Linked DNA regions of Oryctolagus cuniculus. The protein of the gene in region 4 interacts with the protein of the main gene of each other region in a pairwise test. Links are inferred from orthologs where the notes say so. Each region holds a gene or a part of one and is shown on either strand. Other genes may lie near its edges. The genes, in order: RALBP1, ARHGAP31, SYNJ2 and RAC1.

Region 1 (3,564 bases), on a different chromosome or scaffold from region 4:
TTGAAAGGCTGGCTATCTCTTGTGCAATCTTGGTTTCACACTCCTGTCCAGTAAGAGAAACGGAAAAGGAACTAGTTAGTATGTAGGTAAGACATATTCAACAGATGCACATTAACACCCAGCCAGGCTCTTCCTCCTCCTTCCACCTCAATGAATGGATATTTTTCAACTGGGCTGGGAACTTAATACGGGGTCATTAGTTCATGGTTGCATTGTGGCGCATGTTCAATTCTGGCTAATGTGCCTATCTTCCACACAAATTGCCTTCTGCCATACTCTGCAGGGTGGAGGTGCCAGGGGTAGCAATGTTCAATGTACAATTCAGTTCTGATAAATATACACAGTTGAGGAATCACCACCACCATCTGCTATAGAACTTTCCTATCACCCATGAGCCCCTGGGGCTCCTCCTCCAGCTGCTGGCTCCTAGCAACCACTGACCTGCTTTGCACTACTTACAGGGTCTCCTTTCCTTGAGTTTCACAGAAATGGATCAACCACTAAATAGGCTTTTTCATCTGTCTTCTTTTGCCGAACACAATGCTTTTCTGAGCCATCTATTTTGTTGGCTATATCAGTAATTACCTGGTAATATCCCAATTTGTTTACACACTGACCAGCTCAAACAGGCCATCTGGGTTCTTTCTAGTTTTTAGCTGTTAGAACTGCTAAGAGCATTTCACAAGGGCTTTGTGAGGGTGTAGGCTATTTTCTCTTGAATAAATACCTTGGAGTAGAATTGCTGGGTCACACAGTAACTCATGTATGTTTACCTTTACAACAAACTGCCAAACTGGCTTCCAGAGTGGCCATACCATTTCGCATTACCAGGACTGACATAGGAGAGCTCCCGTTACCTCATATTCTTACTCACACTTGGTACTTTCAGTTTTAGCCACTCTAGTTATTGTACAGTGTCCTCTCATGGTGCTTTTAAGTTGTGTTTTCTTAAAGACTAACGATGTTGAGCATCTTTGCATGTGCTTATCTGCCATGTGTGTATCATCCTTGCTCAGTTCCCCATCAGCTCCCGTGCCTGTTCAACAGAGAACCCATACCAACCCCAGACGACATGGTTCTGGAGGCTGAATTCGTGGGGGTGCATGGAGGTTCTTAGCGGTGCCAGGAGGGGGCGTGGAAGCTCTGGGCCCTTTCTCCCATTCTGTGTCCCACTCATCTCTTCATCTGTCCGCTCTGTGGCATCCTTAATAACAAACTGCGCAGCGTGCTTCCCTGAGTTCTGTGAGCCACCTGAGCAAATTCATCAAAGCTGGGGAGGAGCTTGCAGCTGGCATCTGAAGGGGGCGGCCGTGGGGTCGCAGCCCTCAGCCTTGGGTGTGGCTGTCTCCAGATCAGCAGAGCCAGACTGCACTGAATCAGAGGACGCCAGCTGGTGCTTGGAGGAAAAGCCCCCAGCTTCTGAGATCACAGAGGTCTTCTGTGTTGGCTGTGGTCTGACAGCAAAGGGAGACAGCCCCCTCTGACAAGACATCCTCCACACAGGTACAAATCTCTATCCTCAGAACAACCCAAGTACTCGGCCGCCTTTGACTATTAGCCCAAACGCAACAGCAACCACTCCCATGCTCAGTAAATCTGCTGCCCACAGACCCTGCACCAATTCACAGGATGTTGCTGCTGAATCTGTACATGGGTGGTAAGACAGTGCAGAGACTGAGATTTGAGCTGTGGGGTTACTGGTACATTCACAGTTCTGGGACCAAGCAACCCATACTAGAGGGAGATGAGGGGCCCGTGTGTACTGCCATTGCGCCAGGAGCTAAGTGAACAGAAGCCCTCCCGGCAATCCTCTCCGCTGCCCTGCCGTCCATCTCGGACGATGCCTGACCATCCGGCCTTCTCAGCGTTGGAAAGCTTGTTCAGAGGTACAAGCAAGGAGGAAACGACAACACACCTTCTAGTAAAACCCCCTTCTTCATGAAGATCTTTCTCCACAAAATGAAACATCCGACACCGTTCTGAAGGAGTCATCCAGAACTAGCAACGCCTGAGTAAATTTCCCACTAGGGAGCGTCAGGAACCATGCTTACGTTGTATTTTAAAACAAATGGCACAGTTCTTTAATATTTTACTATAAGCACAAAGTACTAAAATATAACTCACTTGTCTTTTAGCTTCTCTCAGTTTTCTTTTGAGGGCTGTCAGAATTCTTTGTACTTCCCATAATCTCTCTTCTTTAGACAAATCCTTTATCCCACCCTGCAGATCTCGATGTAAACAATTCAAAAGAAACTCCTAGAAAACAATAACACACAATGAGCAGTATCCAATGTCTTACTTTAAAAAATCGTGATTTCTAAAGATGTAGATTCAACTATTTTCACTTATTGTTAAAGGACGGAAATAATGGCACTAATGATCTTCTCAAGGATATAACTGAAAAAATCATTCTTACTTGTTTTGCCTGAGAATTAGGTTCTCAGTCATTAATGTACATTGATTCAGTAGGAGCTAATTCACACCCTCACTCCTACATCATCAACTAGTAAGGAATGGAAGTTCAGGGCAGATAAGGGAAGAGAGGCAAGCAGAGATTTGATGATATGCATGCAAGTAAATAAAAACACATTTCTTATTTAGTCTTGAATTTCTTATTCAATTTCTCTCTCTCTCTCTCTCTCTCTCTCACACACACACACACACACACACACAGCATGGCATTTTTTTCCTGTGTTTTTTAAAGATTATTTATTTAGGGGTCAGCACTGTAGCACAGTAGGCTAAGCCTCTGCCTGTGGTGCCAGCATCCCATATGGGTTCTGGGTTCGTGTCCTGGCTGCTCCTCTTCCAATTCAGCTTCCTGCTATGGCCTGGGAAAGCAGTAGAAGATGGCCCAAGTGCTTGGGCCCTTGCACCCATGTGGGAGACTGCGAAGAAGCTCCGGCTCCTGCCTTTGGATCTGCCCAGCTCCAGCCTTTGTGGCCATTTATTTAGGGAGCAAACCAGGGGATGCAGGACTTTTCTCTCTGTTTCTCCCTCTCTCTGTCTGTTAACACTATCACTCAAAAAAAAATAAATAATAACTTAAAAAAAATTTTTTTTAAAATTACCTATTTGAAAGGCAGAGTGACAAGAGAGAGGGGGAGAGACAGAGAACTTCCATACACTGGTTTACTCCTCAAATGCCCACAACAGCCATGGCAGGGTAGTGTCAAAAGCAAGGAGCCAGGAACTCCATCTGAGCCTCCTATGTGGGTAGCAGGAATCCAAGTACTTGGGTCATCATTGACTGCCTCCCAGGTGCACTAGTAGGAAGCTGGGTTGGAAGTGGAGGTAGGACCGGATCCCAGGCACTCTGACAGAGAATACCCAAGCGGTGCCTGTCTCACAGCACAGTTTCTTACAGCTAAGTCACAAGTGGAAAAGTCTAAGATTTAGACTCAAGTCTTGGTTCTACAGCTTAGTAATCATGTGCTAAAGTTTTCTCACCTCCCCTGACTTTCCGTATTCTTATCTTTAAGACATGACTAAATGAGAGCAACCTCGTCCAGATAAGCAAACACTTTGGTGCTGTGTACTAGTGTGCTGAGCCCTTTTCATGCA
Region 2 (4,042 bases), on a different chromosome or scaffold from region 4:
CCAGGCTCACTCACTTCCACTCAGCAAACTTTGAAGGAATGCTCACGTGTGTGCGTGTGTGTGCGCGCGCGCGCGCGACTGTGTGTATGAACTTGAATCTGTAAGCAGAAACTTGATTTCCTGGGCAGTGGTTACCCAGCTGCGGCTCTCGTTGCCAAGGGTGATCCGCGCCCCCGCGTGGCCTGGGGGTTCACGGGGCTCGAGGTCCCGAGCCAGCGCGGCCGGGGTGGGGGTGGGGCGGGGAGTGGTCGCGGAAAACCGCTGCCTGTCAGGTTTCTCCGCGGGAACCCCGTCTTTGTTTCTGTCACTACTCCTGAGGTGTTTGTGGAGGAGAAAGGCAGGCACCGAAATAGAAAGTGTCAGGGATGCGATGACAATGAGGGGCAGACTAAGGGAGCACTTTCTGAGGGTCCCAGCCAGCGCCCGGCCACCTCCTCCTGCGCGCTTCAAAGAGCCGCGCGGGCGGGAAGCGGGTGGCGCGGGCCGCGGCTCCTCAGCCGCGCGGCGATTTCCTCCCCACGCCGGGAGTTACCTCGGGAGTCGCAGCCCGGCTCTCAGGAGAGCGCGTCCTCTCCCCCACCCGGTGCTCCTCAACCCACCCACCTACTTCCTCCGGTTCCATACACGCAGCTCAGAGCTGCCAAAAATTTCCACCCTCCGCCCCCCTCCCTAGCTAACTTCCTTCCAGCGTTTCCTGAGCTGGATGAGCCTAGGATTTGTAAGACAGGAAAAAAAGGAAGGCGTGAGGGCGGGCGAGAGAGACGGGATGCTTGTTTTTCGCTCCACCGAAGCCGCCTGAAGGCACGACCGCTGGCCAGGGCGGCGGACCCACAGCAGCCCCCGGGCTGTCTGCTTGCCCCGCGCCGGAGTGCCGTCCGGGCCCCCGAGGAAGGCGGACTCGAAAACTCGCCCTCCCCCGCCGCGGCCGAGGAAGAGCGCCGCAAGACGCCGCAGCCCGTGAAAGTCCCCGGGACTCCCAGTGAGGAAGTGACACTCCCAAGCCGGCCGCCCGCAGCTGCCAGCCCTGCTCGGCCTCCGGCGCGGCGGCCCTGGAGGCGCGCCGCGTGGATTGCAGGCTCGGCTGGCCCGGCCCGCCCGCCGCCCCGCGGGGTCCATGCGCAGCGCTCCCGCCCCGGCTCTCGCCTTGGCCCAGGCGGCACCCCAGAGCCGCGCTGCGGCCGGTAATCGGAGCCGGGAGACCATCTTACCGCGGTGCCAGGCAGTGGGGAGGCGAGACGGAGGGGCAGCCTCTTCGGGACTAACTCATGAAGAACAAGGGTGCCAAGCAGAAGCTGAAACGCAAGGGAGCCGCCAGCGCGTTTGGCTGTGACCTGACGGAGTATCTGGAAAGCTCGGGACAGGATGGTAATGGGCCTTCCCCTCCCTTTTCCCCTTCTTTTTGTTTGAGGGAGAGATGGATTCTCTTGGGGTGTGTTCGATTTAGTTCACAAGTTAATGTATTCCAGACCTCGCTATACCTTAAGAAAAAAAAAGAAAGAACAGATGACTCTTAAGGTGCACAGCGCTGCCACTGTGACGGGCAGGGCTGTCAGTCCTGGCGTGGGTCGCACCCCAGCCGTTAAATGGGCGGTGCTGCCCCGACTTTCAGCGGCCACCTCCGGGCTGGGGGTGGGAGCGGGGTGCCTGGAGGGATGGCCGAGGAGTGGACAGTGGGATGGTGGGCGGGGGCTGCGCGACCTCCTGGGCGCTCCGATTTCATCTGCTCACATCTTTTTATATTAATGTGCTAGAAGGCAGTGGGGTGCGGTGGGGTGCGGTGGGGGCGGGGATCCTGGGCGGGGGCGGGGGTGGGGAGTGGTTACACAAACATTTTCTGAATTTCTAAGCTGATGCCACATAGATAGTCCCCCCCCCCCCATCTCTTTTCCCAACCCCCAGACCTTTTAGCTCCTCTCGGCTTTCAGATTAACCTGTGATATATCAGACAAGAAGAGGGTTGTAGAAAGGTCAGAGGGCCTCGAATCTGAAATAGTTGAGGATACAGAAGAGAAAAGGAGAGCATCTCTGTTTTCGAGGGCAGATTGGGAGGCAAGAAGGAATCCAGCAAAGGAGAGATAATTTAAACATTTGTTGGGCGAGGAGGAAAGAAAGCAATTCTAGCATACAAAAACAGTATTTGAGGTTAGAAGTTTTTCATCATAGGAAAGTTGGGAAAATTGAGCATTAAATGACTCCTTTTGTAAGGTTGACTGACCCTGCACTTACCCATGACAAAAAGGCCTTGTCTGCAGAAACTTCAGTTAGAGAAAAAATAGCGCACTCTTTATGAGCGGTGTGTTTATACATAGATAGATATAACAAAGGGGAAAATGTAAGGGCTGTGCAACTGTGCAGATTGATTCTGCCTCCAGGAAAATAATCCCCCAACGACCTGATTAGTCCATATCAAATAAGCATCTCAAAAACAGCGCAATACTTCTCTTTCATACACACACACACACCCTTTTTTTTTCCCAAAAGACTCAGCACCACCTAGTAATTTGCAGTGGTGTGATATTCCTGTGGTATTCCGGGGTTCACAGTCAGCCATGTCATTAGGACAAATGGCTTAGTATTTTAGAGCTTGAGGAAACACAGGTTTCCAAGCTTCTCTTTTGAAATCGAGGTATAACTGAGCCAATTCACTTTATCTTCATCAACAATCTGGAGAGGTAGATTTGAAGTAGAATTGCTCAGATTAAGGTCGGTTTTTTTTTTTTTTTTGAATGTGAAAGAACTCCCAAGTATGCGTTTTAACCACTGCTGTCAGTAGTTCAGGATGAGATATTTCCCTCCTGTTTGTGTATGGTCTTCCTGTTAACGTCCAGGTACACTAGGAATGCTTTTAGATGCCATCTTCTACCGTGTGAGTGCTATTCTGGGCCCTCCCTCCAGAGCTGGGATAGTGGCGTAAGGGTACTTGCCAGCCCTGCCTCATTCTTACAAAGTCTTTCATCATAGGAAGAGCCAGAAGCCCAGAGTTCTGTGAACATATCTCAAAGGCACCCGTAGGCAACTGTTCTTTCACCTGCTTTATATTTTGGGTTTTGGCACATGTTTCATTTAGGGGAAAAAATGTCCCAGGGTGAGGGTGGGGTTGGGAGGGAATTTACCGCTTAAAGAAAAAAATGGAAAACCGGTAGCCAGTGTTTCCCACCTTGGGGAGGAGGAAAGAAGGCCCAGAGAGGTAAATTGACCTGCCCAAAGTCTTGCAGTGAAATCATGATGAGGCCCTGGCCTGTTAGGCTCCTTTCCCCTCCCTGGCTTCCATGTCTGAGCAAACATTCCAAGTCAGAGAACTTTCAAAAATTGAACATATCTGAGTAGAGCTGAGCTTTGAAACTGATCCATGTACATATCCACACACCGTTTTTGTATGACATGGAAATTAGGCACATGTAATAAGCAGCTGATATAAATGAAGAGTAATTAGGGTTTTTATTTTCCAACAACTAAAGCTGGTTAGATAGTTTTCCCTTATTTTTTTGTTGTGAAGTGTCAGTAAATAAAGCCAATGTTGGTGGTTTTTTCCAAAACAAGGTAGCCTCCCCATGGACTTTCTGAAATCCTTATTGGCTACTAGACAAGGCCCAGATTCGGCTTCTAGCAAGAAAGAGCTGAGCTGGGCATTGCCCCTTTGCAACCGCCTTGGAAATTCAGACCAGAATGCTAGGGCTGGCACGTCAGTGTGGCAACTAGAATCCAGGAGGCTGAGGACAGCTCCTCAAAAGTGACGTCATGGTCACTGCACTTTAGGGACCAAGAGCAGGGTTGATGGACCTGGGTAAAAATCAGGACAGGTGGACTCTGGTTTGGGAGCACAAAGACAGAAGGGAAGAGATGCAGAGAAACTATGAGAGCCCCTGTGCTTGTATGGAGAAGAAGAGACCCACGCTGGGGTGGAGGACAAAGCTGGTGACAGTTTGCTGTGCTCAGGCCAGCTGAACACAAGGCAGCTAAACACCTGAATGGGAACTCCGAGAGGACAGAGACTGAGCACCGAGCCTGAATGAAATCCATTTCTGTAATTTGCTGAGGTCCA
Region 3 (2,697 bases), on a different chromosome or scaffold from region 4:
CTCCCATTTATTAATTCATTCCCCAAACGCCCACAACAGCCAGGGCCGAGCTGAGCCAAAGCCGGGAGCTGGAACTCAGTCCAGGTCCGTCCGCAGCGGCTGGGGGGGGGGGGGGGCGGGGAGCGGCAGGGACCCAATCCCTGCTGCCTCCCAGGGTCCGCATTAGCGGGAAGCTGGAGTCAGAAGCTGAGGCTGGGTTTCCAACCCAGGAATTCCAGTGTGGGCCGTGCTGTCTTCACCGTGAGAAGGGATTGTTTGCTGTTTTTTAAAGATTTTATTTATTTATATGAGAGGTAGAGTTGCTGTCTATCTGAGAGGAAGAGACAGAGAGAAAGGTCTTCCATCTGCTGGGTCGCTCCCCAGATGGCCACAGTGGCCAGAGCTGGGCCGATCAGGAGCCAGGAGCTTCTTCTGGAGCCCCCACAATGGTGCAGGGGCCCACGCACTTGGGCCATCCTCCACTGCTTTCCCAGGGCATAAGCAGGGAGCTGGATAGGAAGAGGAGCAGCCAGGACCCCATATGGGAAGCTGGCACTGCAGGCGGAGGCTTAGCCTACTGTGCCACAGCGCTGGCCCCAACAGGGGAAATTCTGAGACGCCGGTGCTTAACCCGGACAGCCCCTCCGTATGGGAGTACTGCACTGCACACTCGTCTCCTTCCCGAGCAGGGCAAGTCCCTGGGCAGGTCAAGTCCATTCTTCTCCTTGTATTGAGAATTATATGGGGTTTTCTAAAAGTGCATGGAAAATGTGCACTTCTGGGTTTCTGTACCAGAATAAGCTTACCTTTTAATTCATTTTCCCTTGAACTTTTGAGGGGTAGCTTCATTAGCCGGGACTTGAACCAGGGCCCCTATGGGATGCTGGCACTGCAGGTGGCAGCTTTACCCGCTACGCCACAGCGTAGGCCCCTAGCCAGCCCTTCAGGGAGCTTAGCACTATCATGGGAGTGGCTTCACCTGAAGGGGCGCGTGCTGTGTGAACCACCAGCCAAGCCGCGGCCTCGGAGGAGCACCTTCGCCCAGAGGTTCGCTTTGAGTCACAGAAGAGCACAGCCCCGTTCGCTAAGAAAACTCTGGAATGTTGCACTATGGCTCTGCTTTTAAAATCCTCCCTGGCCTCTCGTTGCGTGTGCTGGTTTGACGTGCCCTTGTGTGTTTTCTCCTGTGTGTTCCCCCCTCTGGCCACACTGCCAGCGTCCAGACATTCTCAAATCTCGAATTTGCTGGAATGTCACCTCAGGCTCGTCCCTCCCCCCCGCTGACAGCTTCGTGTTCTCTGGTCCTCGACTTGCACGTGGCGGCTTCCCAGTCACATGTCGTGTCTTGCTTTTCTCAGCCCCTGTCGCCCGAAGAACAGCTTGATCAAGAAGCAGTCCGCTTCACAGTCGGGCCCCCGGAGACAAGCCTGGAAGCCCCTCCTCCGGGGACCGCCCCTCGAGTCCCCCCTGTTCCCAGACCAAGGACATTTCAGCCTGGCAGAGCCGCAGAGAGGCCGCCCAGCGGTGGAAAGCCGGCACCGGGCACAGGTGGTCCTGTGGCAGGCAACACCTTGCTGTCACCGCCCGAGGTCCCGTCTCTCGTGCCCAAGGTGCCCCCAAGGAGGAAGAAGTCCGCGCCGGCGGCCTTCCACCTGCAGGTCCTGCAGAGCAGCAGCCAGCTCCTCCAGGGCCTCACCAGTGATGCCAGCGGCCATGACCATGACCGTGACCGTCCGCCGGGTCGCCAGCCTGAGGCCGACGCTCTCTTTCCCCAAGTGCATTTCCTTGGCCTTTCCTCTGCCACAAGCCCCGAAACGGACGGTTCCGAAGTCACGAAGCCGGAGGCAGCCTCCCTTCTGGGTGAGTATCAGGACCCCTTCTGGAACCTTCTGCACCATCCTAAGCTGCTGAATAATGCCTGGATTTCCAAGAGCTCCGGCCTCTGGAACTCAGAGGCCAGGAGCCCCGAAAGAGCTGACCCCGGCCCGGAGCTGCTGCCACACCAGGACCAGAACGCCTCCGGTCACTGGGTGGCCATCAGTGACAGAGACAAGAGGACGACGCTGCAGGCGTTTGACCCGCTGGCAGAGACCTGACCCGGGAGCTCCACAGGCGGCCCGTGTGGGACGGGCTCCCTTGGCCCCTGTAGGCAGCACTTCCCCAGGTCAGAAGAGGGCTGTTTAGAGACACGCTGAAAACAACACGTGTGTGTGTGTGTCACTCTCGTGTAGCTGACAAAAGTTGTGTGTCTCCTCCAATAAGATGATTATTCAGCCACCGAAATACGATCGACTCCAAGTGTGTACATAAAATGTTTGCCCTCGGGGGGATGGGACCTGCCGTTAGGTTCAGCACGCGGATTCTATGGCAGGAAGTCAAGCTGGCAAGGCCCACGGCGTTCTCTCGCCCGTTCTCTCTCTCTGTGAGTGTCTGAGGTGGGGCTTTGGTTTGTGTCCCGTTAGTGTGTTCTGGATTTGGAACAGCTTTGCGATGGCCTCCCTGAAGGTTGATGCGTAAAGTGCGGATTACGCGAAAGGTTGCTTGGGACCACGGACAGCGATGTCTGGCCCGCTGAAGCCAGCTTGCAAAAAGCCCAGAGTTAGAAGTGGCAGACAAGGCATCCAAGTGACAGGACCATGCATCCACGCGAGCGTGTGTGTGTGTGTCCCACAGGAGCCGGTGTCCCACACTGTCTGGTTCCAGAGGACATGCCTTGAG
Region 4 (4,287 bases):
CAGCTCCCTGCTGATGCACCTGGGAGAGCAGCAGCAGATGGCCCAAGTGCTTGGGCCCCTGCATCCACGTGGGAGTCCTGGAAGAAACTCCTGGCTCCAGCTGTTGTGGCCATTTGGGAAGTGAACCAGAGGATGGAAGACCTCTCTCTCTCTGTCTACCTCTTTCTGGAACTCTTTCAAATAAATAAAATTAAATTAAAAAAAAATAGCCAGCTGATCCCAGTTATAAAATGGTTAAAACTCAGCTTGCTTCCAATTTGTGGTATCTCCACCTTTTGCCTTCACTGTTTAAACACCTTTAACTGAAACTCGGGGCCATATTTACAGCTTTAACAATCTGATAAAACAACATTCCAGCAGTATCATCAGGAATATAGCTTACCAGTCGAAAGCAGAAATATATTCTTGGTACGGAAAATTTGGGATTTGGATTTTTACTGAAGAAATGTTTGCTACGTATGACCCCTGAGAGTAACAGTGTAACTTTTTTTTTTTGGCAAAAGTTCACTTTACTCCAATACTACTTAAGACAGTCAAGAGTCAACATAAATGTCAAACCCTCATTAAAATACCGTGGGGACAAGCCTTTGCGACACTGGCACCCCACAGCGCGGTGCCGGGCTTCGATTCCTTGCTGCAGGCCCCAATTCCAGCTTCCTGCTAGTGTGAACCCCGGGAGTGGTGGTGACGGCTCATGTAGTTGGGTCCCTCCTGTCCATGAGCAAGACCTAGAATGGGTTCTCAGATGCTGGTTACAGGTATGTTGGGGGTGAGCTGGTGGGTAGGAGCTTCTTCTCTCTCAAGTAAATTTTAAAAATTAAATTAGAAAGCAGACGGGAAATTCCAGGGCGGGAACAGTGTTTTGAATACTCATACTCCCTCACAGAGCCTCACACAGTGCTGGTCCTGGTCACTTCCAGGCAATCAGTAGAGGCCTGGCCCCTGGGAGGGGCTTGCCAGCCAGCCCCCTGCATGATTTCACTGAACTTCCCAAGGAGGAACCTCTCTGGGGGAGGGGAGGAGTGATGTGCTCTCAGACACCTCCCAACTAAGTGGTGAGATGTGGGCAGGACAGACACACACAGCAGGCATTCAACAAGTATTCACTGGAAGGAACAGCAGTACCAGCAGGAGAGGGCTGGGAGCTCTTCGTGTCAAACACCCTGGGTCCCTGCTTTAGAAACCTTCAAGTCAGAATACTACATTCCATCCCTCGGTTCTGAATTACCACAACTTCACTTAGAAAGAGAGCTAAGCATATCCTAAGCATAATCGATGGAGCATTTATAACTTTTAAGGGAAATCCAGGTCATTTTAAACGTTCCTAAGAAAAAGTGACGTTTTGCTGATGCCTGACACAAAAGCATGGAAGAATTCACTTAAAATAATCCGCTGACTTCATTTTCAATCCCACTTCACGAACGCTTTTCCCCAAGTGCCAAAGTAAGGTTTTCTTTTAAAAAGGTAACATAGCATACACATTCCTAAATAAATGAAATTTAACAATTTTTATTTGAATACGTAGAACTATACAGGGTTCACCTTTCCCACGTGTGACACGAATCCAACAGACATGCATCTCCCCAGAAAAACCAGTGTCCTAACTGTCCTCCTTGCATCCGAAATGCACAAACAATCTCAAACGTCTCCCATCAGTTCTCTAAGCTAAGAGATCACACATTCACTAAGAGGCATAAAAAAAAAAAAAAAAAAAAAGATAAAAGTCGGAAGGCCACTTTTGGGATATGAACCAGAGGTGTCCAGCGCACTCTTCCTCCGACTCTGGACTTGGACCAGTTGCATTCAGAGCTGGGTGAAACTGGTAGTAATTCTTCGAGAGTCCCTGTCCCACACTAAGCTACACAAGCAATGCTGAGACGCGCGATTTTGCTCGGATCACACTGGGATTCTTGTTTATAAGGGAGGGAAAAACACACACACACACACACACACACACAACTGCATAAGACCGGTCTTGTCCTCCTCTGGGGCCTGTAACCCCCACGGGCGGTCCTGGAAAGAACTCCATCCATCCCTGCCGCGCTCAGCCAAGGCCTCGGTTTTTTAATTTTTATTTTTATTTATTTTTTTAAATAACGACCACATTGCAGGAGGTCAGCTTCCGTCACACCTGGCCCCTGACAGCATCTTCCAAACTTTGTCCACGCCAAGGGCGCCACCGACCATGTCGAAGAACCCCACAAGTGGCCAAGTTACAAGTGGCAGCGACGCGGCCGCACGCTGGGCTTCCGGTCACTCAGACCACTGGACCTCCGCCGCCCGCCCCGGCTCCCCGGGCTGGAGGGGTGGGGGTGGGGGGCGACCAGGAGGTTTAGGGTAAATGCCAGGGAACGGCCCCTTCTCGCCAAAATAAAATAAAATAAAATAAAATGATTTGCACAGGCGCCCGAGAGCCGTGCCAAGCCGGGCAGGGTGGCGGGCGGCGTCCGGCCGCCCCGCGGGCCCGGGAAGGCGGCGAGAGGGCGGAGTCCACTCTTGCCCGCGGCCGGCCAGCGGCAGGGCCCTCCCCCCACCAGGACGCCGCAACCCGGCCCGGGACGACGGCGGGTGAGGGGCGCCCGCCCGAGCCCCGCGCAGAGGCCGCGCGGCGCCCACGCGACCCTCGGCGAGCCCCCGCCGGCCCCCCAGAGCCCCCGGCCGCGCACTCACCCGTCTCCCACCACCACACACTTGATGGCCTGCATCTGGGCCGCTCGCTGGGCCGCGGCGGCGGCGGCGGCCGGGCGCTGAGGCGGGAAGCGGCGGGCGGACGGGCGCGCGGCGACGGGCGGGCGAGCGCGCGGCGACGGGCGGCGGGGCGCGGGATGCCGGAGCCACTGTCCACGCCGCCTCGCCCTCCGCGGACTGGAGGCACAAGCCCGGCAGCAGCCACCACCCAAAACGGAGGAAAACTGCAGAGAAACAGGAAATGGCCGCTCCACTCACATCCGGCCGCCCCTCCCCCGCGCCGGCGCCGCCGCTCCCAGGCTCCGGGAGGGGCCGCTCCCGCCCGAGCGGCTCCCGGGGTTCCTCGGGGCTTCGGGAGCGCTCGGGAACGCTCGGGAGCGCTCGGGAGCGCTCGGCTCCGGCCGCGGGGGCGGGGCGGCCGCCATCTTTCCCGCGGGCTGGGCGCGGCCGGGTTTGGACTGGGAGGGGAGGCGGGGGTTCCAGGAACCGCGCTGACGTCACCGACTCCCGGCCCGGCCGTCCGAAGGGCGTGGGTTGTTCCCCCACCTCTTTATTGTCCTGTGTGTATGGTCACTGTCACTTAGGCGATGACATAAGGGCCTTCTAGAAATTTCCGAAGCTGAAGCTATATAAAGAAGGAAAAAAAAAGAAACCATACCATTATTGGGCCATAATCAGTATTCATTCCATCATATTTCTTTTTTTTTTTTTTTTAAGATTTATTTATTTGAAAGAGTTACAGAGAGAAGATGGAGAGAGAGAGAGAGGTTTTCCACCCGATGGTTCTCTCCCAATTGGCCGCAATGGCCAGAGCTGGGCTGATCCAAAGCCAGGAGCTTCTTCCAGGTCCCCATGCAGGTGCAGGGGCCCAAGGACTTGGACCACCTTCCACTGCTTTCCCGGGCCACAGCAGAGAGCCACATCGGAAGTGGAGCAGCCGGGTCTCGAACCGGCGCCCATATGGCGCTTCAGACCTGGGCTTTAACCCACTGCACCACAGTGCCAGCCCCTCTCCATATTTCTTTTTTATTTTATTTATTTATTTATTTATTTATTTATTTATTTTTGACAGGCAGAGTGGACAGTGAGAGAGAGAGAGACAGAGAGAAAGGTCTTCCTTTGCCGTTGGTTCACCCTCCAATGGCCGCCGCGGCCGGCGCTCTGTGGCAGGCGCATCGCGCTGATCCGAATGCAGGAGCCAGGTGCTTCTCCTGGTCTCCCATGGGGTGCAGGGCCCAAGCACTTGGGCCATCCTCCACTGCACTCCCGGGCCACAGCAGACAGCTGGCCTGGAAGAGGGGCAACCGGGACAGAATCCGGCGCCCTGACCGGGACTAGACCCCGGTGTGCCGGTGCCGCAAGGCGGAGGATTAGCCTAGTGAGCCGCGGCGCTGGCCTCCATATTTCTTAATACACACAGTGAACATGTTTCAGGCAAGATTGAAAAATCATACTGAATCTCTAATATTTTTAATTGCGGCTTACTAGTCCATTGTACACATGTACCTTTTTAAAATTTTACTTTGTTCATTTATTTTGATTTTACTTGAAAGGCAGAGAGAGATCCTCCACCTGCTGATTCTTCCCTAAATACCTGCA

The links.
Region 1: the proteins of RAC1 (region 4) and RALBP1 interact in a two-hybrid assay, tested with the Homo sapiens proteins (2 studies listed by BioGRID, with this or other methods). The link is inferred for Oryctolagus cuniculus from reciprocal best matches to the Homo sapiens genes RAC1 and RALBP1.
Region 2: the proteins of RAC1 (region 4) and ARHGAP31 interact in a two-hybrid assay, tested with the Homo sapiens proteins (2 studies listed by BioGRID and IntAct, with this or other methods). The link is inferred for Oryctolagus cuniculus from reciprocal best matches to the Homo sapiens genes RAC1 and ARHGAP31.
Region 3: the proteins of RAC1 (region 4) and SYNJ2 interact in a two-hybrid assay, tested with the Homo sapiens proteins (2 studies listed by BioGRID and IntAct). The link is inferred for Oryctolagus cuniculus from reciprocal best matches to the Homo sapiens genes RAC1 and SYNJ2.

What each region holds. Positions count from the first base shown.
Region 1 is NC_091441.1:66,680,738-66,684,301, reverse strand, and holds part of RALBP1 (ralA-binding protein 1), read right to left. Parts: intron 2,257-3,564; coding exon 2,125-2,256; intron 44-2,124; coding exon 1-43. UniProt on the Homo sapiens protein: Multifunctional protein that functions as a downstream effector of RALA and RALB. As a GTPase-activating protein/GAP can inactivate CDC42 and RAC1 by stimulating their GTPase activity.
Region 2 is NC_091435.1:75,801,044-75,805,085, forward strand, and holds the start of ARHGAP31 (rho GTPase-activating protein 31), read left to right. Parts: upstream 1-1,226; 5' UTR 1,227-1,265; coding exon 1,266-1,365; intron 1,366-4,042. UniProt on the Homo sapiens protein: Functions as a GTPase-activating protein (GAP) for RAC1 and CDC42. Required for cell spreading, polarized lamellipodia formation and cell migration.
Region 3 is NC_091436.1:9,655,576-9,658,272, reverse strand, and holds part of SYNJ2 (synaptojanin-2), read left to right. Parts: intron 1-1,337; coding exon 1,338-2,075; 3' UTR 2,076-2,697. UniProt on the Homo sapiens protein: Inositol 5-phosphatase which may be involved in distinct membrane trafficking and signal transduction pathways. May mediate the inhibitory effect of Rac1 on endocytosis.
Region 4 is NC_091450.1:40,075,940-40,080,226, forward strand, and holds the start of RAC1 (ras-related C3 botulinum toxin substrate 1), read right to left. Parts: upstream 2,849-4,287; 5' UTR 2,706-2,848; coding exon 2,671-2,705; intron 1-2,670. UniProt on the Homo sapiens protein: Plasma membrane-associated small GTPase which cycles between active GTP-bound and inactive GDP-bound states.